Lepisosteus oculatus: one gene and its partners. The protein of the gene in region 2 interacts with the protein of the main gene of each other region in a biochemical or structural test. Links are inferred from orthologs where the notes say so. Each region holds a gene or a part of one and is shown on either strand. Other genes may lie near its edges.

Region 1 (10,452 bases), on a different chromosome or scaffold from region 2:
TTGTCAAAGAAAACTCTAAAACAACTGTCAGTGATATTGCCAACAACCTCTAGAGTGCATGGGGTGAAGGTATAAAAATCGACAGTCAGCAGTAGACTGAGACTGCAGAATTACAAGGATATGAACCTCGACTGGCACCGAGGACAAAACAGATTAGTACAAGAAAGATCCAGGAGAGCTTGACACAATGTTTTATGGATGAAAGAGATCAAAATAAACCTCTATCACAGTGACAAAAAGGAGAAAGAACCAAAAAACATGAACTCAGCTGTGAAGTATGATGGAGCTAATATCATGTCCTGGGCATGCGTGGCCACCTCTGGAACCGACTCACTCATATTTATAGATGATGTTCCTAATTTTGGCAGCAGTAGAATGATTCTGAAGTTCATAAAAACATTTTTAGATGCACTAATAGTGATTGGGTGCAGCCTGTCCATGAAGCATGACATTGACCCAAAACATATGGTCAATACAATTAAGGAATTCACCAGGAGACAAAAGTGGAAAATCTTAAACTGGCCAATTCACACTACAGATTTACTGTAAATGTATTTGAGTGGCTGCAGAAAAGCATTTCAAATGATTACTCAAAGGGTTTGGTGAACTCAGTCAGCCACAGGCTTCATGCAGATTTGCGATCGTGACACTAGGGCCATTTCTCCCAGAAGCCTATTAACCTACCAATATGTTTAGAGAAACCACGGTAACCAGAGAAAACCCAAATGAACACAGGGAGAACATGCAACCTTCATACAATTAGCACCCCACATCTGGAATTGAACACAGGGACCCTGTGAGACAGCAATGCTAACTAAACACTGTGCCACTGTGGACAAGGTTATGGGACAAGGCCAAACAAACAGACCAGATCAGCTGAAGCAAATCTAATGAAGAGTACAGATGGCAGTAGTCTTTCAGTGTAATTAGAAACATTTGGTAAAAATTAAGTGGCTGATGATCCTATCTGTCCTGTCTAGGGTGTATCCAGCCTTGTGCCCATTGCTTGATGGGATAGGCTCTGGCTCCCCCTCGACCCTGAATTATATGAAATGGTTAGAAAATGGATGGATGGATGAGTATATTGTTTAGTAAAACCTGAGAAGGGGTTTAAAGTTCATGAATATGTCTATTTCTAGTTGTGGGATTAACAACATAAATCCCTGTGATATCTAACTATTATACTGCTATTTACACATTGTAATGGGTTTAGTTAACAAATTAGTCATTAACTACCATATCACTGACTTCAGAATATCACAAAAGATTTCTCTTTGAGTTTAAAATACGGAATAATTATATGTATTGCGTATTTAAATTGTTATATGTTGTACAGAAACAGTAGTGTTTAGCCTACTTAACTTTATTAATTAATTCTAACGTTTGAAATCTCACTGATGATTGACAAAAAAGCATGAGCAAAGCTTTTTCAAAACTGTCAGTTCTCAATATCACTACTTTAGTAGAAAGAAGAAATCACAAGAAATGACATGCTTCACTGTTAATTGGACTTGGCCAGGTGCTAATTATGTAGGACCATTATGTTGCACCATTAAAGATAGAGAGACTATAACACTCTTTACAAGAACAATTGTGAAGAAGTATCTGAAGGATCAGTTACAAAGAGGAGCTTTTCATTAATCATAAGGTTCTCCATCATTTGCAAAAATAATTGCCCAAAATAATTTGCATTTGCAGCTGGGAGAAAAGGCACAACCATTTTGCACCAGCACATTGCATAATAGATATGCAAGGGAACAGCTCAAATGAACACTAGTGATTAATGAACATGTATCCACGGATGTACTGTATGTTACCTTAGCATTTTTTACTATGTAGGTCTGCATCCACAAATCACTAGCACAATAATCTTTGAGATAATGTGGATTCAGTCCTAGGAGTAACTGGGACTCAAACAAATGTGAGTGCATGACAATTGTATAACCAGTATCATTGAAGCAACATTTGCTACATCTTCTTAGAATCAAATACTATCAAATGCTGGCTCCACAGTTTATAGCCAAATGTCTTAAAGAAACAGATAAATCCAGAAACCTTCAAAGCTGTTATCTGGGGATAAATGGAGAACCCCATTTATTGCTGGGTTAACAGAAGAGACTTTCCTACATTATCCATAAGCACAGGTATTATGTTTCAGTTAATTATAAACAGAAAACAGCAGTACATGGATTTCATGTTTCATATTTGTCTCATAAATTTGCATAGGTTATGCTGCACTAAGTAGATAGCATGTCTGGTCTTATCTGGAAGAGCAGGTTGCCATGGAAACAAAGTAAAACGTTCGCATGAAACATCCATAACCTTCCAGTGCCTTATGATGTGGCAGAAATGTTAACTGTTGCTTCTCTTTTTGACAAAATTCAATTGATTGTTTCAACCTGATTTGTTAAATATCATTTTCAAAAGTAGAACTTTCTGAGGTGAGACACTTATTTGTTAAAAGTATACTATACAATATTTGAGGAAAATAAAAAAAAAATGAATTAATGATTTCTTCCTGGTATGGCTATATGAACATGTTCCAAGTGCATACAAGGTAATATTTAAAACCCAAACAGCATTTTTCCAACTATATTTTTCTAAGGCTGACATTACTCAGAGATCCATAGTATTAATGAGTTCAGTCTTTCTGAACAACTGGCCCATACTTGTTTGCAACATGTACTTAGTTGTTCATCAGCTTTTGATCAATGAATGAATCCTATGTGGTTCAGTATGATATCCAGTATTAGTTTCACATCAGATGGTAAGTTTTATCCAATGATCTTAATATTTCTCCTCCATTTTCCTTTGCAGAAACTTGCAAAGTATAGAAAAGTATGCTCTGGCATTTTCAACATCAACTTCCATTCATTTTTTTCAGTTTGAACATCACTTATGACTGCATGGCTTCCCTTGCGCTAACCAACAGTGGATTATAAAATATTATGTCATTGAAAAAGAGCGTACATATAATTAAACTCCTAATTATACTGTAGTACTACAGTATAATAAAACAAATCTTGCCCAAGCATTGGTTTTCACCTGCCTGCAGGAACACATTCAAGATGATATGAATAAACTCATATAAAACACTTTAAATGTTGAAAGAAACTGTCCTTGTCACCGTATTGCATAGTCCAGTTTGACTTAAAATGAGGTACATAAAAGGCTTATACAGTATACTGTATATGAATGAAAAACAGCATTGTCTAAGCAGATTTCTTAAATTCTTCCTGGGATTTATCTGAAGAGGCCACAACATCCATCATATAATCCAGTATGCATACTGCAAATTCAGTTTACCTTCCATTTTGCATCTGGATATTGCCAAAGATTATCCAATATTGTCTTAATCTGAAAGGAGGACAAAGCAGAATCCATATATTTCCAATTTACCAAAAGAATTGTTTCTGCTACAACTAAAAACATAAAAATGAGCTTTAATTGAATAGACATCTGTTTATAATCAGAAAAGTCACTTTTAAAATCATTTTGGGGGGTTAAATGGTGTGGACCATAAACTAGTATCTTAATTACTTAATTCCAGAAACTTAAAATCTTGATTTGGCAAAAAATGTGAATGAGATTACCTCCGAATTGACCAAATTTTGGATTTATGCTGTAAATGTCATAGCAAATGTGCCTGGTTCTACATAAACAAGGTTTAGCTTGTAACATTCCATACAAAACGAATTTCTTCCTGTATATTATTACAGTATACAATTTTAAATTGTAAGAATTCGATAATTATATAAAACTAGCTGGAATTAATTGATTTTTTGGTCTTTTTTCCTTTTGTTTTTAATTCATTTCAGATTATATATACTGAACTATATCTTTATTATATGTAAATAAAATGTAATATCTTAATAACTCCTATAATAAATCCTCAAAAAATTAAGTACATTGCCTTTAAATGCTGTCAATATTGTTGCTAAGTGAATCATGCCAGCAGATCCAAATTAAACAGATGGTATTAGAGTGTGTTTAGTTCTTAGGGTGCCTGTACCATATACACATATAGACTTAATCCGATTCAACATGTGTGGTTCGAACTCAAGAAGGCAGTTCACAAATGGAAACCAAGGATCTCGAGGAATCCTGCCTCTAGGATTCAAAAATCCTCCCTCAGGAGTGCCAGAACGTCATAGCAGGAGGCATCTTCTCAGTGTAATCTATGCCAAAGGAAGATTTACAAAATACTAATTGAGGGGTGTGATGGAAGTAAGGTTTTCATCTGTACAAAGCTACTAACAGAATTTTTAGAATTGTTTTAAGCAAGAAACATTAAACTTTATATTGCTTTTTTATTTGGGATATGCATGAATGCATCTGTATATATTGTATAGAAGTGCTATGCAAAAGTATCTTAGAGATACTATAGATATCTACATACTTTAACCAGATAGATACAGTGCAATCAGTAATAAAACAGTATATGTATGACTATAAATTACTCAAAGCTTCCACCAGTAGTTTCTGATATCCATTGAATGTTTAGCAAAGCTAAGAAAAAACATCTTATCATTAAACAATTTTACCTGCAGATTGTAATCTTCATAAACGGGATCCCAACAATTCAAAGTATGCATGTGCAGCTAATACAACGTATGTAGATGCAGACCTTTTCAAAATGTTCATTGTTTTAACTGTTCACTTCAAACAGAATGGCAAAGATTTCAGTAGAACTTCCATTTCATAATTTCAGTAGATACCGTGCTCCTGAAAATTTGACTGAAAAGAGCAGAACAGTGCAAAAAATGTCAAAAATATCTAATGCTTTGCACAGCATCGTGTATATTGAACAACTACTGTATACTGTATGGCTACACTCTTTCTGCCTCTTAGGCACTGCGTTCAGATGTCTGCGTAGCTCTCCTGCAGCATTCCTGGGGTTTCCCTGTTCAGCGTTTTGAGCCCTCTCCTCAGATCAAGACTGCTTCTGAAAGGTTCACCTTCGTTCAGCTTACTAACACACTGAAAAAAGATGCGATCTCAAAAACCAAAATACAAGGATAAATTCCAAAAAGCACTTTTATAAAGCCTTAAGAATGCAGTGTACATCAGGGATGATTTGTTATTAATTGATAGCATACTACATTCATGTACTGTACATATACTCTTTCTTCCATTCATCCGGAAATATTCAAAAGATTATGCTTATTCGGAATCTATATCGGAACCCCGTGTTCACATGAAAACAACTTTTGATTGATGATTTGCACTCAGACATTTGGCTTCCAATAATAACGTTTGTGAGAGACATACTGTATATTGTTTGTATAACAATATCCCTACGATTCAGAGCTTTAATTCAAAATCTCGAACAGCTTTGAGACGCTGGATTCTCAATCAAGCACAAACGCATCTGCCACTTGTACTAGAATACAACAACTGCGAAGTTAATCAGATACATTCCTGATGTTTAAATCAGGGTGAATAAAACACTAAGCCCTCTATAACACAACTCTCATTATATTCAGCTACAACATTTTATAATGTTAACTTTCTTGTGTGTTTTTTTCTTTTTTCTCACATCCTATTGGCTTTGAGGACTTGTATCATCACTGCCTTCTTTTTAATATCGATTGCCGATTGGTCACAATTGTCATAAATCAAAAGTGAAGACTCCTCCCAAATCTAACAGCGCTGCTAGATTTAGAAGAGGAAAACTGGTGCGCCTAACTTCTGTCAGGAATAGAAGAGCTTCTTTGAAAATGACTAGATTCGGAGTTTTTCCCCCCGTTTTTCTTCTCTAACGAAGCCGCACTTGGAAGCAAAGTACTGAAATTCAAGCCATAGTGTCCAGGTGATTAGCGATTGGTCTGAATCTCGAAATAGAAGATTTAAACCTCTTGAAGGGCAGTAGTTTGTTCATTCTTGCACCGTAAAATTAGTTTTTTGATCAGAAAAGTAGTGGGCATGTGTTTTTCCACTCGATATTTCTTTTACATTTTAAAGTTAAATAGCAGAGTAAGAATTTAGAAAGTGAAGGAAGCAACAGTTCTTTATTCAAACCCTGAAATAAAGTACTTCTGGGGATAATTATCCTATCTCTGTATCAATCGCATTGTTTGATCTCAGTGCTTTAGTTTCAATGAAGTGGGGAAAATGTACTGTACATACAATGATATGTATATAATTTGTGTGCAAAAACACACAAAACCCTTTCCAGGAATGTTTTGTTCAGATCTTCACATTATTATTCATCGGAGAGAACAAAGAAGCATGTCAATTTAATAATACAAAACTGTCCTGAACCTGGGAAACAACTTTTCTTGAAAAGAAAATAATTTAGCAGCCACAGTGGATTATCGTCCTGGATTGCTTCGGGGGATGTCAGGGAACGTCTACATAGAAGGAATAAATCATTTCCGAATGGAATATAGAAATGATGCAGTAATATATAACCCTGATGACTAGGTGGTCTGCTTTGTCGACCCAGATTATCAATGGGGAAAATACAAATAGCATCCAGCACATGCTAAAGGTAAGTCAGCTACTCTTAAAATACTAGCAAATTATATATACTAGATCCTTTAGAAAACAATAACCTAAATGTTTCTATAGAAATATCAAATTTCTGTAGAAGGTCTGGCGTAGTTTTGTTTCGGTAAGGGACATCCAAGAAAGGAGACTGCTAATTTCCTACATCAAAGTAGAATTAAACAGAATGATTTGTTCAGATTAAGTTGAAATCCCATATTACATACAGAATAATATTCTTGTAGTATTCGGGGTATTTGACATTTTAAACAAAGTTCGAGATAAGAGTAGCATTCATTGTTCGAGCGTTCGATCTTTGTTTAACAATGTAACAACATGTACTGTATAAACGTAAGCAGTTGAGACTACCGTTTGGGTGGTAATTGGTGACAGATGTACAGATGATAATTTAACAGTTCAGATTCTGAGCTTAAAATATCAAAACCATTGCGGCTTTAGGTGGTGCTTCCGACTATTTAAAACATTTTCAATAGCAACTCCTTTCCTTTGAATCAATTTTACCAGCTGTCTAATAATTCTAAATAGTCCTCGTTTTTTGTTAGAAAATACCCCCTCACGCAGTCATAAACCAATTGCATTAGATCACAGCTCCAGAAAAGTTTATTGGAAAAACGTTTTAATATATCCTGTGAACTCCATATGGTTATGACACACTGAAGAGGTGGCATTTCTTTCCATTTTCTCGGTACTGGGTAACATTCAACATTTTCTTTTTTTAGATCGGTTTCGAAAAGACTGTTCAAAACCATTTTTTGACACTTAGACAGTTAACTGAATTTTCATGCTTTCGTTTTGTGGAAAACTGTGAATGCAAATAGATACGAGCACAATTCTCCAGTTATATGGACCACTAACAGTGTTGAGGCGCGTTTCGTTTCCCATCCTAAATCCATTAATATAAAGTTAAAATGAATGGTGAACTGTGGACGGTTGTGCTGTACATGTATTTCGAGTCTTTTCTTTGAAGTACTACATCCAGTGAGAAGTACGTTGCTTATTTAAGTAGGACCTAAACGTAATATTATATTAGATTTGCTAACACCTCGACCAACACACTTCTTTTGGGATATGATAGGACTATGATATGATAGAATTGGCTCTGCAATGCTGAGGAAAACGCATTAAGTATTTCACTACTGTGGTAGTGGATAGGTTAAGTCCCTCAGTACCAAAAGAAGTTTGTTATTCTGCTCCAGATTTCCAGTGTACCAATGGAAAAACTTGACACATGGATACTTTACTGGGCGGAGAAGACTTTTCAGCTTTTGCTAGCATGAGACTGTAAATTAAATGACAAATGTTAAGAGCTAGACAGCTCACTTCCATCATTTCCTTTACCCTTCAACATGCTTTTGGCCCAAACAGATCAAATTAAATATCTGTCCCTACAGGGCCTAAGTCAACACCAGAGCCTTGAGGATGAGGTTGGTACAGTTGGAAAATCAAAGATGAGTCATGGTAGGGTCATACTGGAACATCATAATTGATTAGTTTACTTGACAACTGTTAGATAATGCTTAAACCTTGTATGTTTATATTACATACTCTTTTTAACAATAGAACTCTAAAATGTGTCCAAACCACTAAAATACATTCCCAATTAGTATAATTATATAAAACATAAGCATAAATTCATCCCCAACTGCTTGTTCCTTAAAGGGGTAAATAATTGAAAAAACATACTGTAAAGTAATCTTATCTATTATATATATATTAGATCAGAATTGAGAGGAGGTCTGAAATTACTGTGAGCATGATAGTATAGTTTGTATTTATATGGTCTATTAAGGATAGATAAATACTTTTACATTTCTTATATTTTTAAAAACCTGGAAAGACTTTAAACACGCATCTTTAATAAAATGTCTTACTCAGAGTTTACTATTATTATGTACTGGTCTTATCTCTCTGCACTTTAATATTATGCAAAAGGTGAGGAAGTCCCACAAAATCTGGACATCCTACTATGGACTTGTTATATCCATCCATATTCTAACTGCTTCTTCCAATTCAGGGTCTCAGGGGAGCCGGAGCCCATACAGGCGAGCAGAGGGTACAAGGCAGGGTACACCCTGGACAGGACACCAGTCCATTGCAGGGCAGACAGACAATAACACATAAGAGCTCACACCAGCACCAGTTTTCTCAGAAGACAACCTACTGTACCAGTATGTTTTGGACTGGACTGGAACATGCAAACTCCACATAGATAGCACCCCAGGTCCTGTATTGAACCCAGGGCTCCAGCACTGCAAGACCACAATGCTGACCACAGTGCCATCATGCTGCCCGTTCTGGTGTTGTTTCAGTAATATACTGTATTTCTAAGAATAAAACTAACTCAAAATTCTGCAGAGTACTCTACATACATGTACATAAATATGTAGAACTGTTAACTACTGTGCCACCATGCTTCCTTTAATTAAATACTGTACATACAAGTGATGAAAAGCTATAACAGTAAATGTGTACTAAACAGATGCTTATGAAGGCTGTATTTAATCTTAATTTACTGGCTGCTATGCATCACCCAGGTTGAAGTGTATTGCCTTCTGTATGCAAAAAGCTTTGAGATCCCTTGGGTTGAAAAAATTGCATTTGTGTTGAACATGTTACTGTTTCAGCAGAAATGTTTGTGCATCTGCAGACAGCATCAGCCTTTTCCACATTTACTGAGACAACACTTTTGTCACTTTCAGTCCAATTGAGATGAATATTTGTAACAGTTTAATCATTTCTGAACTAAAACTACAGAGAGTAGTTTAGCTTAGTGTTGCCTCCTTCGGTACTTTTCTTCTTTTTTAATCAAACTATTATATTGATGCCACATATTTGTTCAAACGGTCTTACATTAACAGCTTCAGAAATAATATGCTTTTGTCATACCTTTTTAAGCTTTTTAAGCTAACTTTACTAGCTTGTCTCTCTGATATTTTCAAATACACGAATAAGAGATTAAGCAGTCTTGTGGTGTATTTTCCTGAAAGTGGAATGGTACCACACATCTGAGTTTGCATTGCTGGATACCAATTAATCACCTGATGGAAGCTTAATATCACATGACTGAGAATTCATCGACTGAAATTAAAAGGAAAGTGGAACCACTGTGAATGTTTTTACAGCAGAACATTACTTTCAACTTTTCAATTACAATTTCAACTTTTCAAATCAAGTATGTGTTATTATGATTACAAATATTCTAGGCTATTCTCAAAGGTTGTCCCTGTAATGTCTGTCGTCATTACTGCCCGTTATCATAGTCTGATTCAACAGTGGTTGAATGTTAAAGGAAAGCTGCCTCTGTGTTGTGCTATGTCACTAACATGAACTGTATTGAATGCACCACATCTGTCTAGTATTTGAACATAGAGGATATGTCTGCTGTATAAATAGAAATGCAAAGTGCTATAGATAATTTTAGCAATTATTTAAGCCTGTGCTGCATCAGTGGAATAGATAGCAAGGCTTAAATGTCTGTCTGTTTTAGGAAAGAAGTCTAAAAATATATATTAGCAGCATAAGGAAGAAACCATGATGTTTTCTTATTATTCTTACAATGCAAAAAGAGACTGTGCTCAAAACATGAGTACATTTCTCTGAAAGTGTAAATGGTACTGGCAGTTCTGAAGCAGTGTGTGCGTTTGACATTGTTCCCATGTTTGTCCTCTGGCATTTAAAAGCAGCCAGAGAAATCCATTGTCAAATCCTGTTATTACCATTTTCTCCCTCTCTTCAAGTGTTCTTGTATTGGTGCTTATCTGAAAGTATTAAGAACACAGTTCTGAAAACCTTACCCCTTAAAATAAACTATAGTATTTGTGTCTTCTTCATGTTGCTGATGTTTTTAGAAGTGACATTTTAAATACTGTGCGTCAGATATTGTTTTTGCTCCAAGATTGTTGTGAAAGGCATTTAAAATGTGAAAGCGTGAAACCCCATTTT
Region 2 (11,185 bases):
TTCATAGGGTTGACAATGAAAATAGGGTAGCTGTGTAGAGAAATGAGACATGAAGTATCTGTTTTCCTTCACTGGGATGAGCAACTGTTTGTGACTGCTGAAGTCAGTCATTGTGCAGAAAAGTGTGAAATTCTTTACTTTTGGATTCAATAAAGTCACTATTCATGCCTCATTTCTGTTTACGCTGGAGCATCCTAGATGCATGTCAAATACAATTGTTTTCGTTCTTCTCCATGTCCTGTAAGGTACAAAAACCTCTTTAAAGACGACTTCAGATTAAGTGAAGATGACAAAGACATGGATATCCTTAACTCAGTATCTGAGTACGGTGCAAGGTGTTGATTGGTGTATTATGGGTGTACATTTATTAATGCCAGTATTACCCTCTTGCATGTAATACAGGTTTAGGTCCTTTGCATTATTGCCTGAGTAGTCTTCAAGCTTTTTCCTCCAGGTTAAGGTCAAGTGTGACTTGCACAACAACACTGGCATAATGTAATGCATAGCACTACAAGGGGGTGTGTTTCAGTGAATTCAAAGTGACAGCTGGTTGTGTGTCTGTGAGGGAGAGGTAAAAAATAAATGAGGCTTCAAAGCACATTATTACATAACCATGTCAAATGCAAATTGCAGCGGGGTTTCCTGTGCGGCACGAACTGTAAAAATACTAGATTGCATTGAGTGGAAGCAGTCTAGGGAAATCTGAAAATTGGAAAGCCGTAAATTCAAAGTTTAATAGGGTGAAGTGAAAGCACATAAAACAAATCTGGTTGATCAGATGTGGCTGGATAAGATTCTAAGATCAATTAGCTACTAATTACAAAAGAATCCAGATGAGCCTAATGGCCTACTTGAGTTGGCATTTAGGTTGAGAACCTGAATCAGAATACAGCATTGCCGAATATTGTTCAGTCACTAATTAAAACCTTCAATTTAGAAAGTTCATCAGGTGCTTCATCAGTATTACATGGTGATCTCCTTGGAAATTGCTCCATGCTTTGGTGGCTTCTTCTATATTACATGTATCTTATCTTAGATCTCTCTTATAACACTTAGTATGCTAAGTGATTTGGTCAGTATGTTATTTGGGGAAACCTTATGTAAGGGACGAGATTTCACGGAAATTTATTTCCTAAAGGGTTATTTTTTTCAGGTATTCTGCTTTGAGGCCTCAGACCTTCTGTTTATTTTCATTCTGTGATTTTAAAGATGTGCAGTCCTGTGATTTTTTCTAATAAAAAGGACTAGTTTTGCTCATTTCCATTTCTGAATTCCAGAAAAGGTTAAAGGAAAAATGTTAACATGATGAAATGAACATGTTCATTTCTAAGACTGTAGGTTACGGACATAGTAATAGCTCTTAATGTATGCTGCAGACATGTTTTGTGTGTTAATGAGTTGGAAAGAAGTATATGAGCAGCTGACTATACAATCTTAGCTAGTTACTATAAACATATTGAATGATTTATTACCTTTATTCAAATCCTTATTTGTTGTGTACCCTTAAACAGGTCAAATTAAGTAACACTAAGCTTCTGATTTGAATTAGGCTTTTTTTGTATCGGACAAGTAACTGTAGATCAGATTTTTTTTTTTGCTTTTTGAGAACGGTTACAATACTCTTGTTCTCACTTCATGTGAAATAACCTTTAGTTATGACCCCCTCAGGATCGCTGAATTCATTGTTTTTCACATTTTATAGAATAATTCACCATTGCCCCACGCACCGATGTGACACAACTGTAAACTGTAGTGCGATTCCAAAAAGTTGTCTTATTCTGTTATTTCAGGATTTTGTTTATCCATTTGCCTGAGTACTCAGTGTTTACAGACGTTGTGCCAAACAAAGTACTGGGGAAAAAGATCATCACAGGATTTGTGGTCTGTCACAAGCTTATTGAAGAATCAAAGCTATAATTGTCTTATTTTGATCATGCTATTGTTTTGGAGTTCACAGATATTGAATAACTGGATTCCCTTGGGCTAGTGCTTTAGCTGAGTTGCATTCTTTTTCTTCATCCTCTAAAGAAAGAAGATAGTAGTTTGAAGCTTTGAGCTGTTTCACCAGAAAATAAAAAAATGTACTTTTTAGTTCATGCTGTTATTTCTTTGGATTTTATATTATCAGTAAGTCAAGTGAACAAAGTTGTTTATCTTCAGATAGAACCCCCCTTCTCTTATAAGTGCAGGTAAATGTACAGCTAACGGACAGAAAAATGGAAACACTTGGGTAAATTATGGACAAAAAATGTAATGAAAACAAAGGCTTTTACACAGCTAAGGCTCATGCATTTTTTAAGCAAATAATATCCCAGCATGCTGTGGGTCATGTATAAAAATATTGGACATGCCTGATTGCTTTTTTTCAGGTATGATTGCTTTTTTTGCTTATGATTATAATTAGTATGACTGCAAGAGAGGACCCCAGTGACCTTGAAAGCCAGACGATTGTTGGGGTGTATTTGGCAGGAGCTTAAGTAACCAAGATGGCTCCACTTGCTGTTGATTTTATGAGCAGTGGTATTTAAGGTAATGTCACCATGGAAATCTGAGTGGGCAGAAGTGCGTACTACAAGACAGCAATCTATGTATTAATGTGAGGTGAGAGGCTAAGCAGATGCGCAACTGCTGATCAGCTGACTGCGAATTTCATTGTGCAGCCAGTGCACAGGGGTCCACCGAGAAACTGTGGTCAGGTTGCAGTGAAAGAAAACACTCATCACACCTGACAATGGAGTTTTGCCAGTCCAGTCGTGCAAAGAGCACAGGCAATGGATTGCCAAGCAGTGGCGAAGTATGGTATGGTCAGGTGAATCATCCTTGTCATGTTCTTGACACAAAGGACGAGTGCATCTGTGGTGCTTACCTATCAAACTCTGAGTGCTTGGTGCCAACAGTAAAGGGTTCTGTTATGTCATGAGGCATAGTTTCATGTCATGGTTTGAGTGCATTCAGACTCATTCTTGGTGGTGAGGGATCATCTCTTGCAGCTGGTCTCTCCTGCTAGGAAGGGTGTTTTCCAGGATTTCATGACGGTGCCTCCATCCACAGAGTATGTGTGTTCCCACAATGGATTCTCATGACATCGCTATCCTTATGTCATGGTCTTCTCTGTCAACAGGTTATTTTACCCAGTCAAAAAACTTATGGTATATTCAGGCACAATACCCAAGACTACATTTTCCAACTCCATCAACCAGGTGAGAATTGATTAACCCATGGAAAAATGGTGCTCCATCCTACAGAATCCTAAATATTGGTAGCTTCAATATTGTGGAGCATACAGCTTGTACTGGCTGGGTGTGCTGGCCCAGTGCTCTGTTAAGCCACTTTACATTGGCATTTTATCCATCTGTATATTTCACAGAGATAAGTACATTTTCCATCCATAAAATATTTTTTGAACATTTCCTTTAAATACAGGGCCTTTGGGTTATGCTTTTGCTGTTATAACTGCAGTAGTTTTCAGCGTGCCAGCTTTGCTTAACTAGCTATAGAGATGTGAAGTGTCCCGTCCTCTTCATGTTGCAGTGCGTTAAAATGTTATCACCTTAACCCTGACAAACATTTTCTTTCCCTCTTTTTAACAAGACCTTCAAAACAAGCCTGGGGTTTCCCATGGGCTTTGCATTGCCTGCGAGACAACAAACCAGTGCTGTTTCCATGACATTGTTCTAGTGAATGTGAATTTATGTGACGTGACATGAACGAGGAGGAAAAAAAAGGTCATTTTGACTTTTTGCATGTATTACAACCAGTATGGTCCTGCAGTGCTAGTACCGCAGATGTTGATTGAAAGAGAAAATAAATGACAGACACCCTCCAGGAATCTGCTCGATAAAATATATATATATATTTGAAGTAAGTTTCAATAATGTGGAGACTCATGCTTTCAAGTTTTTGTTATTCATACATTTATTTTCCCAGGGCTCTGGGGGATGGTAGGATACGTGGGGATCCCGGTATCGTGACACTAGGAATTTGTGATTGTAGTATTGGTGGTGGGGAGGATTAAGACCACACCGAAGGAGAATGATGAGGAAGAAGTGCTTTAATTTAACTGTTGCTGCTGTCATTCTTATGTTCAAGTCCAGTATAATGAACTTACAGGTGTTGACTGTTGATAAGTGGGCAGCTTGCTAAGCTGATTGCTTTTCTTACAAGTGTGATTGATCACCTGGTGTAAGTCAGTTCATCTCAAGGTATTATCAGTTAAAGATGGAGATCTGAACTCCTTATTGGACAAATTACACTTCACTTTGTGGCAGTTACAGTCATTATTATACTGTAAGATTTGATTGATTTAGTTTTGTTATTAATTCATTTTTTTTCACTAAGATTTAAATATTGTATGCCAGCTATTTGTTTCAAAACTCTGTTTTTATACTAATTGAAATGGCACAAAGGAAAGTTGCTGCTAAATTATTCAACTATAACAACCATCCTTCTATTTTATTTATTAAGCATTACGTTCGGACTGTTTCTGTGCTCTGCAACCCTTTTCAAAATGTAAGTTGTGTTGTGTACTGCTTAAAATGCTAAAATAAATAAAACTTTGTTTTATACTGACATGTTTCTTGAATTTTAAATGGGGGGGGGGGGGGGAATACATTTCATTGAGTGGTTATTATTGCTTTTCTGTAACAACGGCATTTCTTGAGTAATTAAGCTTTCCTTCAGTGGGGAATTTTTTTTCGTGGGCTTCCCTTAGAGTGCTTGTACAGTATGTGGATGCTGGTTTGTACCCTTAGGCAAAGAAGTCTGAATTTCCAAAATGGGGAAAAAATGCAATTGACTTCTTTAAAACTCATTAAGTGCTTCCTTCTAACCACCCCAACCCTCTTGCCCTCCCCCCTACCAAACTTTTTACAATTTTTCTAGGGAATATCTTGTTGCTGCATTACCTCCATGTGTCATACCTTATAATTACAGTCATTTGAAGGCAGGGTTGTGCAAAAGCTTCAGCTTGCCAGATGATTTGTCACATAAACGTGAATTTTAGTGCCCGAATAGATTATACCCCACTTTAGAGGCATTTATAAGGGTATTTCCATTTATCCTGAAAATAATATCTGTAGTTGGAGGGCAGGTGGGTTGTGTAGGTAGAGGAGAAAGCTTTCCAGTAAATTTCCTTCTGGAAGCTACTGCACCGCAGTGGTGAGGAAACAGTGGGAAAGTGAACATGGATATTGCCTGCAGGATCTCTGCCTGCATGTAGGCAGCCTGTTCCAGTTTCTTGTTGTAATAAAAATCTTCATTAGCCTGAAGTGGTACCAAAGTACCAATTTAAAGAGTAAATTTTACAACTTGAGCTGTCTGCTAAAAATCTCTTTATTTTCCTCTGTAAGCCATTGCATTTCAGTACATTTTTTAAAGCTGCTTTAAAAATTGTCTATGATAGTCTGGGTAAAGCAAAAAAGAATTAGCCAGGGCCTGTGTAGGAGCAAGATTGTGTTCCAGATGGGAGTGGGAATGGTGTGGTGAGGCTATGTATGGGCTAGCTACAGGACATGACTTCTACTTAAGGGAGAGTCTGAACATTTCTGTAGGTATTTGTCATCCATGACTCTGCTTCCTCTTTCTCACTTTTTCAGGCCCATCCTTGTGTGTACAATGAGTTATAATGGGCTTGAGGTTTACATATTAAAGCATTTTTATCATAGGGTACAAGGTACGTTTACAGCAGAGCTGACCTGATAATCATTCAGGTAGCAGGAAATCCCCCAGTCCGTCAGTTTAGCAGGAAAAGAGCAACACTTTTTAAGATGCAGGACTACGTTCCCCTGACACATTCTTCTTCAGTTTATGTGCAGGATAACCGGGTATAAAGGTATGTTATTATAACCTTTCTGTTTTATACACTGAAATCTTTAAGCAGCAGATCAAATTCTGCTGTTTTTTAAATTCAAATGAGCATTTTTTCTGAACCACATTTCTCTTCTTCAAAACATAAAAATGTTAGCTCTGGCTGGAAAGATTCCTGAGCCCTAGGGTGTGTCAAACTGAAAGTAAAACATTTTTGGCTGTCAGGCGAAACTCAAACATTGGTAGAAAAATCCCAGAACAGCTTTGTTTTCCAGTGTGAAGTAACACATCTTGCTCAGTGGACCATTTTAAACCCTTTTTTTTCTCTGCTTTGTTTCAAATGACTTGTCTACTGGCAAACAAGTGTAAAGTCTAGCCTGTTGAAGTTCATTAAAAACTTCCGATTTGCTCAATCCTACCCATGTGTTTTTGTGTTTAAAAAAATTGCTCTTTCTCTAACTGCTCTGTATTCACAGCCCTGTCTGAATTAATCTTTGCTTCAGCCTGCCTTAAAAAGGCCGGTGTCTGTTTGTATAATGTGAATACACTTTGTGCTTTGGTGGGTCAGATTTTCTTATGCTTTTCAGTTATTTCATTTTAGGTTTTTCTGAAATACTTTATGGACTGGGTTCGGTGAAGTTTGAAAAGATGTGGTGGACACAAGTATTACCTTTATATCACAAAGTCAAGCCGTTGTTTGAAAGAAGCAATTAAAGTTCAGTCTTTGGGCTCTCGGCAAACATTATTAAAGCTGCTGGGAGCGGTGGTATGGAGGAATTGCTTTCTTCCTAAATAGCTTTTCTTTACTACCTTTGTTTTTGCCTGATTGGCCACTACTGTATAAGCGTTTAATTTAGCAGTCTGTTGAGGTGTGAGTAAACAGTGATCTTCCTGTGCTTCTCATCTTCTCTGGGGTTTTTTTAATAAGAAACGTGATGCGTTGCATACAATATATATTAAAGCTTAATTAGTGGGCCTTTTAAACACTTTTCACTGTGCTTGCAGTGGCTGTAATTTTTCTGTTTAACAATTCTGTGTGTAAAATAAACTTTCCTTTGTGACATTGATGCAATATTGCATGTTAAAAAGTAAAATAAACTTAAATAAGTGCTACTTCAGTATAGTTTCTTCTGCAAGGCTTTTTAGTGGAGTAGAGGAGTTTATTGCCATATGTATATTAGAATTCTTATTGCGGTGATCTCCTGGGACATGCACGTACTGTGCAACACCACACAATGTAGACAGTACAGTACAACATAATAAATAATAACAACGGGAATGATAAATATGTAGTAGTGAAAGGAAAAAAAAAACGCGGTAGACCATGCAGAAAGTGCCTAGTGCAGACGTGCATTGAGTCCGAGTCATTGCAGTTAGCTGTTCAGAATGCGAATTGCAGTAGGGTAGAAAGAAGTAGGTTTGCAGGTTTTGCAGAAGCAGTTTTGGTTTCTGTTGAGCACCTGGACACCAGAAGTTAATTCTTCCACAATAATGGTTTTACCAGTGGACTCTCTGTGTGTTGGGGTGAAGAGTAGAGGAGATGAGGGACTAGTGTTAGAACAGAAGTCTGTTAAATTGAGCCACTACTCTTCCAGGCTCCTTGTTCCTTCTGCTAAATCTTGTGTATCTAGAAGTCAATGGAAATATCTGATGTTTACTTTTTTTCTTGGATACATTTAGTCAAGTTAATTGAAATGTCAGTCAGTCTGCGTGGAGCACCTGACTGTTTCATTACTTGTGATCAAACCTCGTCCTCCTGAGATGTTGATTACAGAACTCCTCTCTATGAGAATGATGAATTCCAGGTACCTGACCAGATTCCTATGGGGTTACTATATAACAACAAAAAACTACAACAGTTTGGTCTGTATCTTGTTAATTCTCCAAGATAAGATTTTTATTGTTTTAAAAATCTTCTAGATTTAGACGCCACAGGTTACAGTAGTGAATATGCCCTGCGTTACAGTAGTGGTTGTCTTTAGCTGAAATTGTCAGATGAATTGCACATAAAACTATATCTGATCTCTCTCCAGTACATGGTTATTTTGTTGTTGCGCTAGATGCAAAATAAAGGCTATAGATTATCTTATTTTTCTCCTAACTGAAGTCAGATATGATAGTGCTATCAAGATGTATCTTGTTAGACATTCTTTTAACCTAAACCCAAATTAAACTAGAAGGTGAACTCTGCCTCAATATTGTTGTGATAAACTCAGAATTTGGAGCGTTTCTCTCTGGAATTAGCCATCCAAGCCTTGTTTGCAATTTATGAATGGCACATGGGCTAAATGTCTGATTTAGTTAGTTATTTGCCTGTCTTCAGGAAAGCTATTGTACTGTACTGGAAACTTTGCCCTGAAACTGTTAGTTCATTTGTAAAGTGCTACTGCCAGATTTTTATACCCAAGCCGGGTCAGCTTTTTTTCTTGTCTTAAGCTTCATTAACTTGTAGTTTTATGTCCCTCTTGCATCAGCGCCGACTAAATATTAATGAATGAGTGCCATTCTTTTCTGTAACACTTTTATCTGATAAATGGTTTATCTAACTCTGTTACAGATTTCCTTTCAAAACAATTAATCTTTTCACTAGTATGCCGGTTTCTTCATAATAACACTTAATGCCTTGTACTTTTGTCCTTTTGAGTGGCTTCAGTAGCTACAGAATTATGTTTTTAATGTTGATAGTAGGAAATAGGGATTAAATCCCTCCTGTTAACCTTGTTAATGGGGAATTCGCTGTAGACGTTTGTCATGTCAGGACATGTACTGTAGACCACTTGACGTAAGCAAGTAATTCTATTCCACTTGCAGAAGGATTCAGTGTTGCAGATCTGAAAGTGTTTAACCCTCGCCTTGCTTTCTAATGCTTTGTTTTCAACACTGATAATTCAGTGAAGCTTGTGTTTTATGGATAACGAATTGCTCATTAAAGCCATGTGTCAAGTGTGGGGAGTGGGGCAAAATTATCCCGTATACCTCTGTGCTGTAGAGATTTGTGATATTTGTCAGCTGTGGTCAACAAGATCTTGCAAGGGAGTGCGTGGCTCAGTTCATTTCGGTGATGCATGTTATATTGAAAGAAAATAGTAAATGGTTCTTAAGCACTGTGTCCCATTGTAGATATGGGGCTGTAATTGATGGGGCTTATTGCAAGTGAAGCCAGAGAGAAGCTGAGGGATGAAGTCATCTGACCTCATGATGAGAGGCAGGGTGGACCAACTGCAGGCGGGTTAAAACACAGCTGTTTCTTGGCAAAACCAGAGGAGATGGGGGGATATTAAATGACTTGTAAAGAGGATTTGGATTTGAATACTGTAATGTGCCAAGACAGCTTGGTTAGCTGCAAATGGACTGCCAGAGTTGGAGTAGCACTGCAGTGTTTTTTTTAGAACTGGCTAAAAGCAAGAAAAAAATTAAATCCCATTTATTATTTGATCCCTACAAAATACAGAACACTCAACCTGCTGTTTAAAATATATGGCTTTAAAAACACAAAAGGCTTCCGTGTTGTCTTTTGATGTTCTCCAGTTGGATCGCTGGACATGTCTCGTATAGCAGGCCACTTTCCCTTCGTGTCCATTTGTGTCTTCTGGCTTGTGTTTAACTGCCAATTCCCAAGATATCCAAAAGATTGACTTAGTCAAAGCCCCTGAGGATTATGAATACGCCCATTTCCATACTTGCCTACAAGTTCTGTCAAGCAAGCCTTCACATAACCCGATTTTTACGCAAGTCGGAAGTAATCCTTTCTTAGTCATTGCATGACTATGTGCAGTATTACCATTCATGACATTTATAAATAAGACATTTATGAAGTTTTAAATCCTGGTGATTAGATTGATTAAATATCAAATATAGTATGCATTAAAAATGTGCTGGAAATAATGAATCAGTGGAGATGGAGAGAGGGAGATTGATACACAGAGCTTGCCACATATTGGTGAAAACAAAGTGTCATTTAAGCATAAAATGGAGCCCAGGTTGGATGTCGGTGCTGACCACATTATGCTTATTCTGCACTATTCATCCATGGAAGGAACTCACAGCTTGTGCATTCATTGCATTATGCAGTTTTAGTACAACATCCCTTGGTTTCAATTTGACACTGTTAAACAATTTTGAATTGTTTTATTTTTTTTTATTTTCCTGTCTAGGAAATGAAAATGTCAGCATGAATGCTTCTAAGTCTTTTTCATTGGTGATGTTCAAGCTCACAGCTTCCCACCGTGTATATTTATAGGTTGTTACCCGTTATTTGCCAGGTGTGGACCCTACCTCAAATCGCCTAAAACTTTAAGTTTTTATTTTTTTGTGTTTTTTACTAGTCCCAAGAAGGTTAAAAGACCACGTTCTTCTTTTGTACCACCGATATGTCCTTAAGTATTACCTAGTAGACAGTACTTACTGCCTACACACAACACTGATTGTATTTGACATCTTTTAATTGCATCACATGTGCTTAATGGTTCTAAGTTTGTCTGGAGACGCAAGACTTCAGAGCACTCGGCCTTCTTGCAAAACCAGGACAGTTAATTTGTTTTTAAGAAAGAAGCAAAACTTGAAGAACTAGCCAGGTTACCTTTGTAACTGCCATGCTGCTCATTTGAAAACATTTTAAAAGACATCTGCACTATAACACAGACTGAGAATCAAGGGCTAAAGTGAGGTATGAATGATTGTGTACAGTAATAGACTGTTAATCAGCTAGTGAAAGTACATTTGTTTGGTAAGTAAAACTGGTTGGAAAAAGAGCAGTGCAGTCCTCTTTCTAGTACACTCTTGGTTATTTAGAGCCTTAAAGCTTCTCAAAGACTTGAAAGTCCAGGGTTTTCTCTTCCACTAAAGATAATTTTCTATGAAATCACATACATTTAAATAACATAACAGCTTATTTTTGGGGAAGTTGCTTTCAAACAATATGGTACAGAGGGGGACTGTCAGAATTTACAGGTATGATTTCTTTCTCGTAACAGAATATGGCTCTGTAGTTACTGGAGATGGGCAGAGGCGTGATTGTGAAAGAGCAGACGTTATTTATGGAAACAGGACTGGTCCTAGGTTTTCATGACAAAGCTGATGCTTAGTAGTATGACATTTTGTTTTGTGACAGCTGTCCATTGATCTGTGTTTTCTGGCCAGGGTACAAAAAATACCCTAATTGAAAGGGATATAATCTTAATTATAATTCTTAACACTACTAATTTATTGGAGGTTTAATTTTTCAGGATTATCAATAGGCTTGTGGAAAAAGCATTTCTTTTGTTTATGTATGTTACATGATAATAACAATGAAAAGGTTGCTAAAGTACACCAAGATTGGAGTCTAAGTGCGTGATTTTCATTTTAAATAGCTTTTAAATAGCTATCTGTCAAGTCGAAA
Region 3 (10,582 bases), on a different chromosome or scaffold from region 2:
CTTATTTTAGGACACTGCTAGTTTTCACTTGGTGTCACACTGGTTCAGCATTGCTGCCTCACAGCATGGAGGCCCAGGGTCCAATTCTGGACCGGGGGTACCAAATGTGTGGAGTTTGTATACATGCTGCATGTTCCCAGTTGCATGCTGGATGAATAGTGTTGCTTGGGTGACACATAGGCAGCTTTCTTTGTCTCAAAGTTTTTCCAGCCATTGATCATCCTCTTACCAAATAATTCAATAAAGTGTATTGTATAGGTAGTCTTAGTCTGTACCTTGTATTCACACTGTAGAAAAAAAAAAACTAAAACAAAGTTACTGTGAGGAAAAAATAAATAAAAAGAAATTCAATGCAATATTTTGAAAATGACATTGATAGTTATTTTAAGAAATACCGTAATGTTAAGTAAGTAATGTAACTTAACATTTAACAATTCAACTTAACATTAAATAAATGAAATGGTGAAGTCTACAATTACATAAAATGATGAACATTTAGTTGAAAAATAACTTTTAGCACTACTATGTAAACCATCTTCCGAGAATAAATTAATTGTGATTGCTTTTATGTGGGAGTTCAATGTTCCCCGTATTTGGGAGCACACCCGGAATGCATTGTCAAAATTACATTTATAGTTACGGGGACTAAGTTTTTACTTTACACTCTCTTGATATACATTTAGGAACACATCGGCCACTTAATCATGACCTACCTGTACATGCTTGGTGCATCAAACTATTTTTAATATTCAGATCTTCACAGTGCATCTAAACAGGAGGGGAGGCGTTTGCTATAGTGTCCCATGTGTCACACGTCACAGACCAGCCTCTCTTCCGCAGAATGAAATCTCTCTGGTGTGGTGGAGCTGCATATCCAGTATGTCAAAACAACTAGCCCCATGAGGAATTCCCACACCCTCAGCTCCTTTCCACATTTCTATCAACAGCCCGGCACAAAATAAAAGAACTGTCTCAAACTGTGTTTATTGTGCCTGTGCGTCCTTGGACCCAGACCACAGCTAACTGTGGCCAAGAACCCCATTACAGTAAAACCACGGTTTGACGAACTTCTCTTTAATGAATTTAATGGACAAAATCTGCTACAGTTGAAATTTTTCTGTAAGGTCACAAAATAACCGACTTTCCCCACAATAACAGATAGAGTTAAATGCAAAAAATGATAAGTTGCATTTTTTGTACAACATATCTTTAAATAGGTCTAAAAGACATGACTATTGATGGTGTCCACTAAGATAGGGCAATTGGTATAGCATGTAGCAATTGCGTGACACATATACTCATATACTGAGTGTTTTATTTCCTCACAGGGAAGGTGGTCATTGTTATTGTGGAAGTTACCTGCTTTAAAACACGGGGGTAGGCAAATTGGTTACGCTGAGTGTTTGAATATCATCTCCTTTAGCGAATTGTATATAGTATATTCACCATACATGAAATAAATAACTTGTGTATTAATGATAAAAATGGCACTTAACAATTGCCACTGATTATGTTGATTGCAATTGATAAAAAATCCAAAAAAGATCCACACGTGATTTAAGGGACATTCAGCAATAATGGACACCCCTTTCCCCTATTAGTCTGTTAAACCAAGGGTGTACTGTACAAACAACTTCACATACACAATCTGTATATAACTGAAATGAAAAATGCAAGTGGGATTTTTCCTCTTCAGATGATACCGTTTAGGAGTGCCAGTAATTGTCTTTCTGACTGGAGGATGTAACACAAGAGCCTGTGTGTGTGGCATGTAGCAGCAGCTGCTGCACTCACCTAGTGCTGGATAGCCCAGATAGAAGCGGTCAGCTCCCAGCCAGCCAAGGAAGAGGGACAGGGCGACTGCAACTTTGTATGAATAACCACTGCTAAACACACAAAACAGGACAAAATAACGAGGTCAATAAGTGAGACTCCACACAGCTGCTCCCAGCCTCTTCTCAGGTGAGTCTATTCCTGCGATCTACTGTTTCTAGCTGACTGCTTCAGCCCAGCTATGAGGTGGTCAAACTCAGGCAGTGTGTCAGGGCTGGTACAGAGCGGCCTTGTTCAACAGAATGGCAAGACGGAACAACATTATAGACATGTCTGCAGTGTTTGGCACCAGGGAAAGCAAACTACTGGCAAACTCTCCTTTCAACCGCTGATCAAGAAGAAGACCCCTTAACCTTTAAGGTGAATACTCAGATTAATTTGCTACTGCAAATTCAGAGCTTCAGAGCTGTAGCCATGAATTCACTGGGACAAAACAGAGAATAATCTGAAAAGCGCTAATACAATGGCCAAAAATCCCCATTTATGATAGGCAGAAAAGGTCTGAAGGTTTTACTCAACAACAAAGGGCAGAGATTTGGAGAATTTCCGCAGCAGTTCGTCTTTAGCAACACGGAAGGAAAACAAAAATACTAGAATTGTGATTTCTGAGGCTTTGAATCTTACCAGTTGGCACTAGAATATGAAAGCCTTGCTCAGGCTTCCTTATGAAAAGGAAATATTTTACAGGGTCGGTTTTGAAAGGGCTTTACAAGGTCAGTGCAGCTTTGGGTTTCACTCATTTTGACTAGGAGAGATGTAGAGATCTGGCAATGCTGAAACATTCAAAGGAATAAAGGAAAAGCATGAACTTCTGCCTTGTCTCTGTTTTCAACACATTGAAAAATGAAAGAATATATCAATTTACTTTGGCTGACACTTTCACCTAAAGCAATACCCAGCTGCATTCATTCATACAGCTGGACTTTTTAATGGAGCAGTACCTTGCTCACAGGTACAACAGTGGGACCTTACCTGGATTTGAACCTGAAAAACTTCCAGTTATGGGTCAAGAGCCCCTAGCTACTCCACACTCCTGCCTGCCATTTCATTTATAAAGGAGAAGTAAACCTGGATTTTCCATTTTAATTGCATGTTCATGTAGAAGTGGTTTACTTACACATTTCGGCAGGGGATAGGTTTGTAAAATCCAACTTCTGCTCCTGTGAAATTCATGACTGTCATATTGGGACACCGACAAATTATCCCACGGGCAGGAAAACACTCAACTGAAAAGGTTCAAGAACACAGATTCAGCTTAACATAAAAAGAGTTAAAAATTCCATAACAATAATATCAGCTTGCTACTTAATGCAGTTTTGTGTTCAATAGTAGTAAGAAAAATAACTTTTTACCACTAGTTATAATACTATCACTACTATTTTTACTGTTGCTTTGTTAAAAACACTTTTACAAAATAAGAAAAATGTTTCTGAGGCCAGTTGTTTAGAGAACAGACGTTTGCTTGCAGGTTTTTTTGATCAGTAACAAATTGCTTGCGAGTCCTTGCACTAGATCAAAAGTTGTGCATCACTCTACAATAAACCCCTGGCCCTACACGATACGTGAAATTGACGTAGTCATTTCATCTAATAGTTTCAAGACTTTTCTGCGACTAGTAGCATCTGATTCTTAAATGTCCCTTAAAGACATTATAAAGAAATAATACCATCTGGAGAACTTGGTCTTCTCAGAGATAAGTGACATGCCAAGCACTCTGTGCTTATATAAAGGTTCTTAAAAGCCCTTGCTATGTGATTTAAAACACATCATTTCAGGTTGTAAGAACAATATCTAGACAGCGGTCCCTCACCAGTAGCAGCATGGAAACTGCCTTCAAGACACACCAAACAGTGAGAAATAATCAATACAGTGCAGCGCACAGCACAGATACAAATAAGCAGTGCAACAATAAAGAGAGACCAAACAACAGTCCCTCTGCACTGCACTTTGATGTTCCACATGGTCTGAGCTGCCAGCTCCTGTAGGATCCAATAGGAGCCAAAACAAAGAACAAACCTAGTGAAGACCCAGACTGTGTGGGTGAAGACCAACACTAGAATAATAGTTCATTAACATCAAACTCACCGTAAGCTATTAGATCTTTACAGTTTTCTGGCTCTTGCGTGTCATCGTTTATTTTGGGATCCTTGCACAGATATGTGTTGAAGATTAAGGAATAGCAAGTATCCATTCAATTTTTCTAAACAGTCCACTTTACACAGTGCCATAATACATCTGAATCAATTAAACAGATTAGACCAGGGGTATGGGTAATTTGGGGAGCACTTTTTATTAAGGTAGTCACATACAAACATACAACAATACCCTAGGCACTGGGGACAGCAATTTCTTCATTGAATCGTCTCCGATACTGATAGTTATATTAAACAAACAGCAAACAGGGACCTAATGTGGCAAAAGGTTTGTTTGCACAAATGCCAGGATTCGAGACTGCTTATGCAGCTCATTTGTAACTCGACTTTCGCAAAATTAACCCTCGACTTTTTCGCTCTAGCATATCCAATTACTATATAAAGACTAAGCAATGGCATCGATGTAGCTCTTCATTTAATAGGGGTATCACACGAGGCTCTTCTCAGTGAATTGACACAATTTTCATAAACTTATCAAGTATGATCCAGCAGACTAGTGGATTACCCAGCATTCAAAGGTGTGCGAGCATGCAGTAATAGGCTACTGATAAAACCAATCACCAATATGACTTCAAATGTTTAACTTAGGGTGACCATATTTTGGCTTTTCAAAAAAGAGGACGGGGGGGATAATCGACACTCAACACATGCCTCCAAAGTAATGAAGCTTTATTACTTTTTCTAATCAAAAATCAATTTAAACTCTCTAGTTTTTTTTTATTAAACTTCTTAGTAAACATTTAAACAGTTGCAGGGTTGTCATTTCTCATCCATAATTGGCACACAAGGAAAAAAATCTAGCCCTATTTTAAACTTTGTTTTTCATTTTAACACAACAAAAGTCTTATCATCTGAGGAAAAATGAAGACATCATAACTTAGGAGAAGTCGTCTTTGGTTGCAAAAACCTTTTGAAATATAATGAAACAAGTTAAACATTGTTATTTCTCATGGCCATAAAAACAGCCACACACTCAAACCCTTTTCAGGCTACGCTGCGTGTAAATTCAAAACATCTACCGGTAATGCATGGAACGAACGAAAACATGTAGGCCTATGTTTGTTTACATAGTCTGAGTACGAGCAAAACAAAATCACGTACAATTTTTGGAATTTTATAAATCCCGGTCGGACCGATATTTTACAGTAGGTCTCAAAAAGAGAACATGTCCGGGGAAAAAGAGGACGTGTTGTCACCCTAATTTACTGTACAATAATAATTGCAATAAATTATATATATATAATCGGATTTGTAGGTCAAAATATGTAGGATCTCGCGTTTCTGGAAGAAGCAATAACCGTAGTTACAGGAATCGAACACCTCTAAGTCGTTGTTCTTGTTCGTATTGTATTTCACACGTCAGACGCTGTAGATTTTTTTTGCTCACATACACATATCACAAAAGTTACATACTACTACAATACGACCAAAACGTATTTTGAAAAAATCGGACTTTATATTAGAATATCGACCTCAAATACAAAGATAGATTTTAACATGACGGGAAATTCACAACAGTGTCCCGAATACAAACCAGAGGATTTATCACTTATCAAAGGATATTGTCCAAGCAGAAGTTTGTCACACTCTTTCACGTCGTCTGTAGACACCGCTGCCTCATTAGAACTTGTAAAATAAATTAAAATCCACAAAAATGACAGTAAATACAAGCCTCGCTTCCTGGAGGCAGCCATGCTGGTCGGACACGTAAGTCACGTGAGGAGGGAAGCTCTTTCACCTTAAAGGCACACAACTGGTTATTTTTTAATCTTACAAATAACGCATTTTGTTGCATAACAGTGGCTAACAATGAAAACTCCACTTAATACACACCCATAGTACAGCACCGTAGTCTTTTGGCAACTAAATAGAAATGACTGCAATTTATAATTAAGTTAAATATTCCATAGATTTATATTTAATTACTCTTTCTCAGACTCGTAACCGCAAATGGTTTATTTTAACAACGTCCCTTTCAATGAAACGAAAAAGGAGGCTTTATTCGTATAAATAATGACATGGAAAACGTGTGGATTTAGCAAAGTAACACTGGATGTTCGTAATCTGCACCAAATGTGCTTCTCCAGGTATATACACCTGTCTACACGTCCAGATCGTAGATTGGCGTAGCTGAGGAGAAAGCGCTGTTACGGACAGGGTGAGCTCTCCCTGGCACGGCTTTTTCATTTCTACACTTCCTGTTTCTCAGGTGAGGTGCGGTCATCCGTAGTTCACAAACTTCCGCTGGACAGGTAAGCCGAGAGAAATCACTGCTAAGCGCCGTTTTTTATTTCTTGTACCACTCCAGCTACCTAATGTAGATTTATACAAAAGCAAGATCAGTTGTTTAACTAGTAGCTGTTCAGAGGCGAAAGCACAGATTTTGAAATACAGCTGTATTTTAGCAAGTTTTAAGAAGCATAGCATGGACGCGGATGTTAGTCATTTCTTGCCTTTTTAAATCCTCGATATTTGCATGATTTTAATGCTGTCCTATCTCAGTTTGTAGATGCAGTTCGCATACAAAAAGTAACTTTGACAACGGAAGAAAGGAGAGAGAAATGTATTCCCGTGGTGTTGAAAATTTGATTGTGTATTTTTTCTTAATAATTACAAAAAAGTAAATGTCACTTGAATACTCTTAACTTTGTTCCGTTTCCTCGTACTTTATGAATTTTAGAGCTTAGGAGTCAGAAGGTAAATTCAGCGAGCAGAAACATATGTTACCCGAGTACAACTAACTTCCTGTTAGGCAACCCAGTTCAGAGAAGGCAAGACGTGTTGGCAAATTAAATTCAGTTTCTAAACTTCTGATGACAGTAATAGTATACCAGCTGGATAAAGATTAGCCTCGCCTCTCTTCCGCTAAAGTTTATGATGTTTATCGATACATTTTTTAAAAAGCCTATCATTTTAATTTTGCGTTCAATGGCTCTACATATCTCGTAGTTCTGTGTAGTATGGTTTTGAATACGAGCACCGTTCCCTTGGGGTTGCTGCTGTAACCTAAAATGTGCAAATCCAGCATAATTATATAACATGCAAGCCAGCTTGTTTTAGTTTAGGATTTTTCGAATGAAACAACTTTTGTAGTAAGTTTTTAAGTTAACAATCTCTTTTTTTCATTGTTCTATAGATATTAGGAGAACATCTTCAGAAGAAGAAAAAATGCTTGAAAGTATCCCATCAGGTATAAATCCCTTGATATATGTTTGTGGTCTGTATATAGTTATATTAGACATTTCTGAGCTCCTGACTTAATATGAGTGAATAATATATTCTGAACTACTGTAGGAAAGTTACAATTATGGTAATACATTTTTGGGGGCTAGAATTGGGTGGAATGTGGCCAAGGTTTCTTCCATAAGAAAGTAAATTAAGAGATAATTCCACCTGTTCACATTTCTATGTACTCCTCAGTAATTATTTCTCGGGGTACAGTTTGTAAATGCTGCGTGGGAGCAGGTTGTGTTATGAAAGAGATGGGCACTCCCTTAATCCGACAATCTTTGTTTTAGCTCAGCTGCGGCAAGGACAGGTTTCTCTTCAGGCACATTTAGCAGTCTGCTCATTCGGGAAAAGGTGGTGCCTGGCTAAGCCAGCTCTTTGGTTTGCAGTTTCGACCTCAGAGAGGCAGCAGGTCCTGCAGGCCCTGGAGAGACTGCAGTCCAAGCTGAAAGACCGGGATGACCGGACGCATAGCGAGAGGCTGGGAGCGCTGAGAGATGCCTTGCGGAGTCCGCTTCTTGGCCACATCCTGACACTGCAGCACTCCATCAAGCAGCTGAAGGAGCAGGTGTGAAAGGTCCTGGGGAGCACTGTGTTTGCTGGCTTCCTAGTCACAGGCTGCTGCTTGTAGCTTTCTCTCTGCAGTCAGCATAGAGACACATTTGCTTTCAGCTCTCAACAGGTCAAATGGGATTCGAAATAGGTATCAACCCTGTACCAGTGTCTGAGTTTCAGAATACTCATCAGTCAGGTGTGCTGCCTGAAATGGCTTTGATTGGACTTTTCCAGAAGGAAAAAAGCCTATACACCAGTGGGTGTGCCATTTCCACAGTGGGTGGGTCTGACAGTGTCATTCCCATGTGTGTCTGTCCATCATCCATCGATTATATAGTAAGACTTTTTTCATCATAAATTATGACCAATAATTTGAGCAAAGATCTGCTTGCTGGAGTTGTAGGAAGCAGTACCTTTGAAGTTGGGTATTTTTGGCACTTAGGACCGGCAGAAGAACAAGTTAAATAAAATGTCTAAACAAGCAAACTGATCAATTACAGCATGTCATTAGCACTAGAGATTTAGAACTGGCTGTAGAGTACAGTGCTCTTAGGAAACGCTATAAGTCGACAATGGTACGGAGAGCACTCTTTTTGAGTTATCATAACATGTATTGTGGCATTAACTCTCACACTCTCTCAAAAAGAGAGAAAGTCTAGAACAGACTAGAAGAGGAGTCAGAAGGGCACTAATAATCTAATTTATGTTAACCCAAAGATGCAAAAAAATATACTTTTTAGAGGATTAGAAACAATGGAGACATTTCAGTTAATTCTTTCTGGCTTGGTTGATAGTGACTTACTGACCCAAGAGTCTCATTCAGCCATTCATTGAAACATTCCAGCTATCCTGCTTTTAGCAATGTTGCAGTGTAACTTGTTGCAGATTCTGACAACATTTTGTTAAGGAAAGAAGTGTCTCCTGCTTCCAGTCCTAAATGCACAGTCTCTTTATTAGTGCTTGTGCTATTGGGCATTTGTTTCACTGTTGCCTGTAAAGGAGTGGTCTTGTTACACTTTTGCAGTCGTCATTTGGGTTAAATGGGGTGTCAGACAAGTAATATCAAAACATCAAGCTACTTGAAAACTGAAACCTGGTTCAATAGTTTATGTTCAGTTGGAGGTATGCTGAAGTAAAATATTTCAATATGTAACCTGGATGACAATATTTTATGCAGGCAGCAAGAATGTTCAAAAATGGGTTTGTCTTATCAGTGTCCAGCAGCAATGTTTGGAGAGCAGTGGCTTTCTCTTCGCTATCCTTCCTTGAACACCATTCTTATTGAGTTGCTTTCTCATAGTTGAGGCATGAATAGTCACATTAGCTGAGGAGAGGGAGACTTGCAGTTCCTTAGGATGTTACTCTGGCATTCTTTAGAACTTCTTTAGAACTTGATTTTCTGCTTTGTTCTTTAAGAGATGTTGGTAGGACAAGTGCTCTTGGGTAGAGTGTCTGTGGATTTGAACAGTCCATTTGTAGACTCTCTGACAGTAGATGGGTGGAGTCTCGTATCCTAAGTAATGGTGCTAAGTTTCGCGACTGACGACTAACAAAATCTTTTTTAGGAGGTCTTCAAAGTTTTCCTTCGATTATGGCATGACTTGTTTCCACACACCTGTATGGTGAAGACCAAACTCAGAATGTTTCTAATCTTTATATAGGGTGGGGGCTTCTAAATTTAGCCCCCTAAATCTGCCTATTTATTGAAATATATTATTCAAATTAATCCCTTAACTGCGCTAATGAAACTAGGGTTTCATTTACGTTTTCACATCCCCTGTAATTCATTACTCATTGTTTAATTCATAATTTAGTTTAAAGAGATATGAAATTGGTTATTGTAAACCCTGTTGGATTTACATTAAGACTGAAAGGTCTAAATCCTATTATGGTAAAACTGTGAAATGGAGTTCAAAGAAGGATAGCAGAGTTACTTTCTGGCTTTAAAACAACATCATACAGGTTAAAGGAATTGAATCTCCAGGTTTTAAGAGGACTTAATGTAAGTTTTTAAAATCCTGAAAGAGTTTTGTAAAGCTAGTCCAAAGATACACTTCTGAACACAGAAATATCAGTGTAAGGATAAAAATGGAAGCAAAGAAAATGCATATTTAGAACTAAAAACTGGAGGCTCTTCTTTACAGACAGGGTTGTTTTCGTTTTTTTGTTGGAACATGCCGCAGAGAAATTTAGCAATTTGCAGATTTCATGGAATGTTTTGGTCAAAAAGCAACCAGATGATCAAGATGAGCAAAGTGTCTTTCCCTGAGTTAGAACTTTTCTTATGTGATGATAGCTACTACTTTGTCATTGTATACTAAGTATTTTTTAAAGTGAGTTTCCATGTACAGGAATGTATCCAGTAGTTGTGGGTTTGTTTATGATGTACAGTATCATTAACTAGGCTGGTATCTGGTTCTACAGGCTTGGGTATCTGCCTCCCTTATACTGATGGCACGGCCTGTGTAGTCAGTCTCTGCTGAATATGTAGCATGTTTAACAGACATATTTAACAGATCTTTTGCACAGAAAGTCCGTAGGTCATTAATACATTACTTGTTGGAGTTTCTGGCAGAGCTGGAGCATGATTTATTGGTTTTTTTAAGCTGTGGCTGGAGATAAGAGCATTTTTAGTTTTCCTTCATTGAAGGTTAAACAAAACATGCCAAGTCAAATTCTTTTTCTTGAAATAATAGTCTAATTATCATTTGTAACCTTTTTTACACTACTTGTACAGATTGTACTTTCCCCAATGAGTCCTGTTGCGTATAAATCTGAGAAACTCATTTGATCCTATTAGTTCTGTTATGGGT

Evidence for each region. The genes of interacting proteins can lie anywhere in the genome.
Region 1: the proteins of pkp4 (region 2) and pdzd2 form a complex in vitro, tested with the Homo sapiens proteins (2 studies listed by BioGRID and IntAct, with this or other methods). The link is inferred for Lepisosteus oculatus from reciprocal best matches to the Homo sapiens genes PKP4 and PDZD2.
Region 3: the proteins of pkp4 (region 2) and patj interact in a test that uses a peptide from one of them, tested with the Homo sapiens proteins (2 studies listed by IntAct, with this or other methods). The link is inferred for Lepisosteus oculatus from reciprocal best matches to the Homo sapiens genes PKP4 and PATJ.

Annotation. Positions count from the first base shown.
Region 1 is NC_090698.1:39,801,209-39,811,660, reverse strand, and holds the start of pdzd2 (PDZ domain-containing protein 2), read left to right. Parts: upstream 1-5,684; 5' UTR 5,685-6,493; intron 6,494-10,452.
Region 2 is NC_090707.1:12,702,880-12,714,064, forward strand, and holds the start of pkp4 (plakophilin-4), read left to right. Parts: upstream 1-5,751; 5' UTR 5,752-5,805; coding exon 5,806-5,830; intron 5,831-11,185. UniProt on the Homo sapiens protein: Plays a role as a regulator of Rho activity during cytokinesis. May play a role in junctional plaques.
Region 3 is NC_090704.1:29,926,264-29,936,845, forward strand, and holds the start of patj (inaD-like protein), read left to right. Parts: upstream 1-5,814; 5' UTR 5,815-6,238; intron 6,239-7,122; 5' UTR 7,123-7,154; coding exon 7,155-7,176; intron 7,177-7,603; coding exon 7,604-7,782; intron 7,783-10,582. Other genes in the region: tm2d1 (TM2 domain-containing protein 1), read right to left, coding at 1,795-1,886, 2,951-3,059, 3,919-3,987, 5,545-5,680.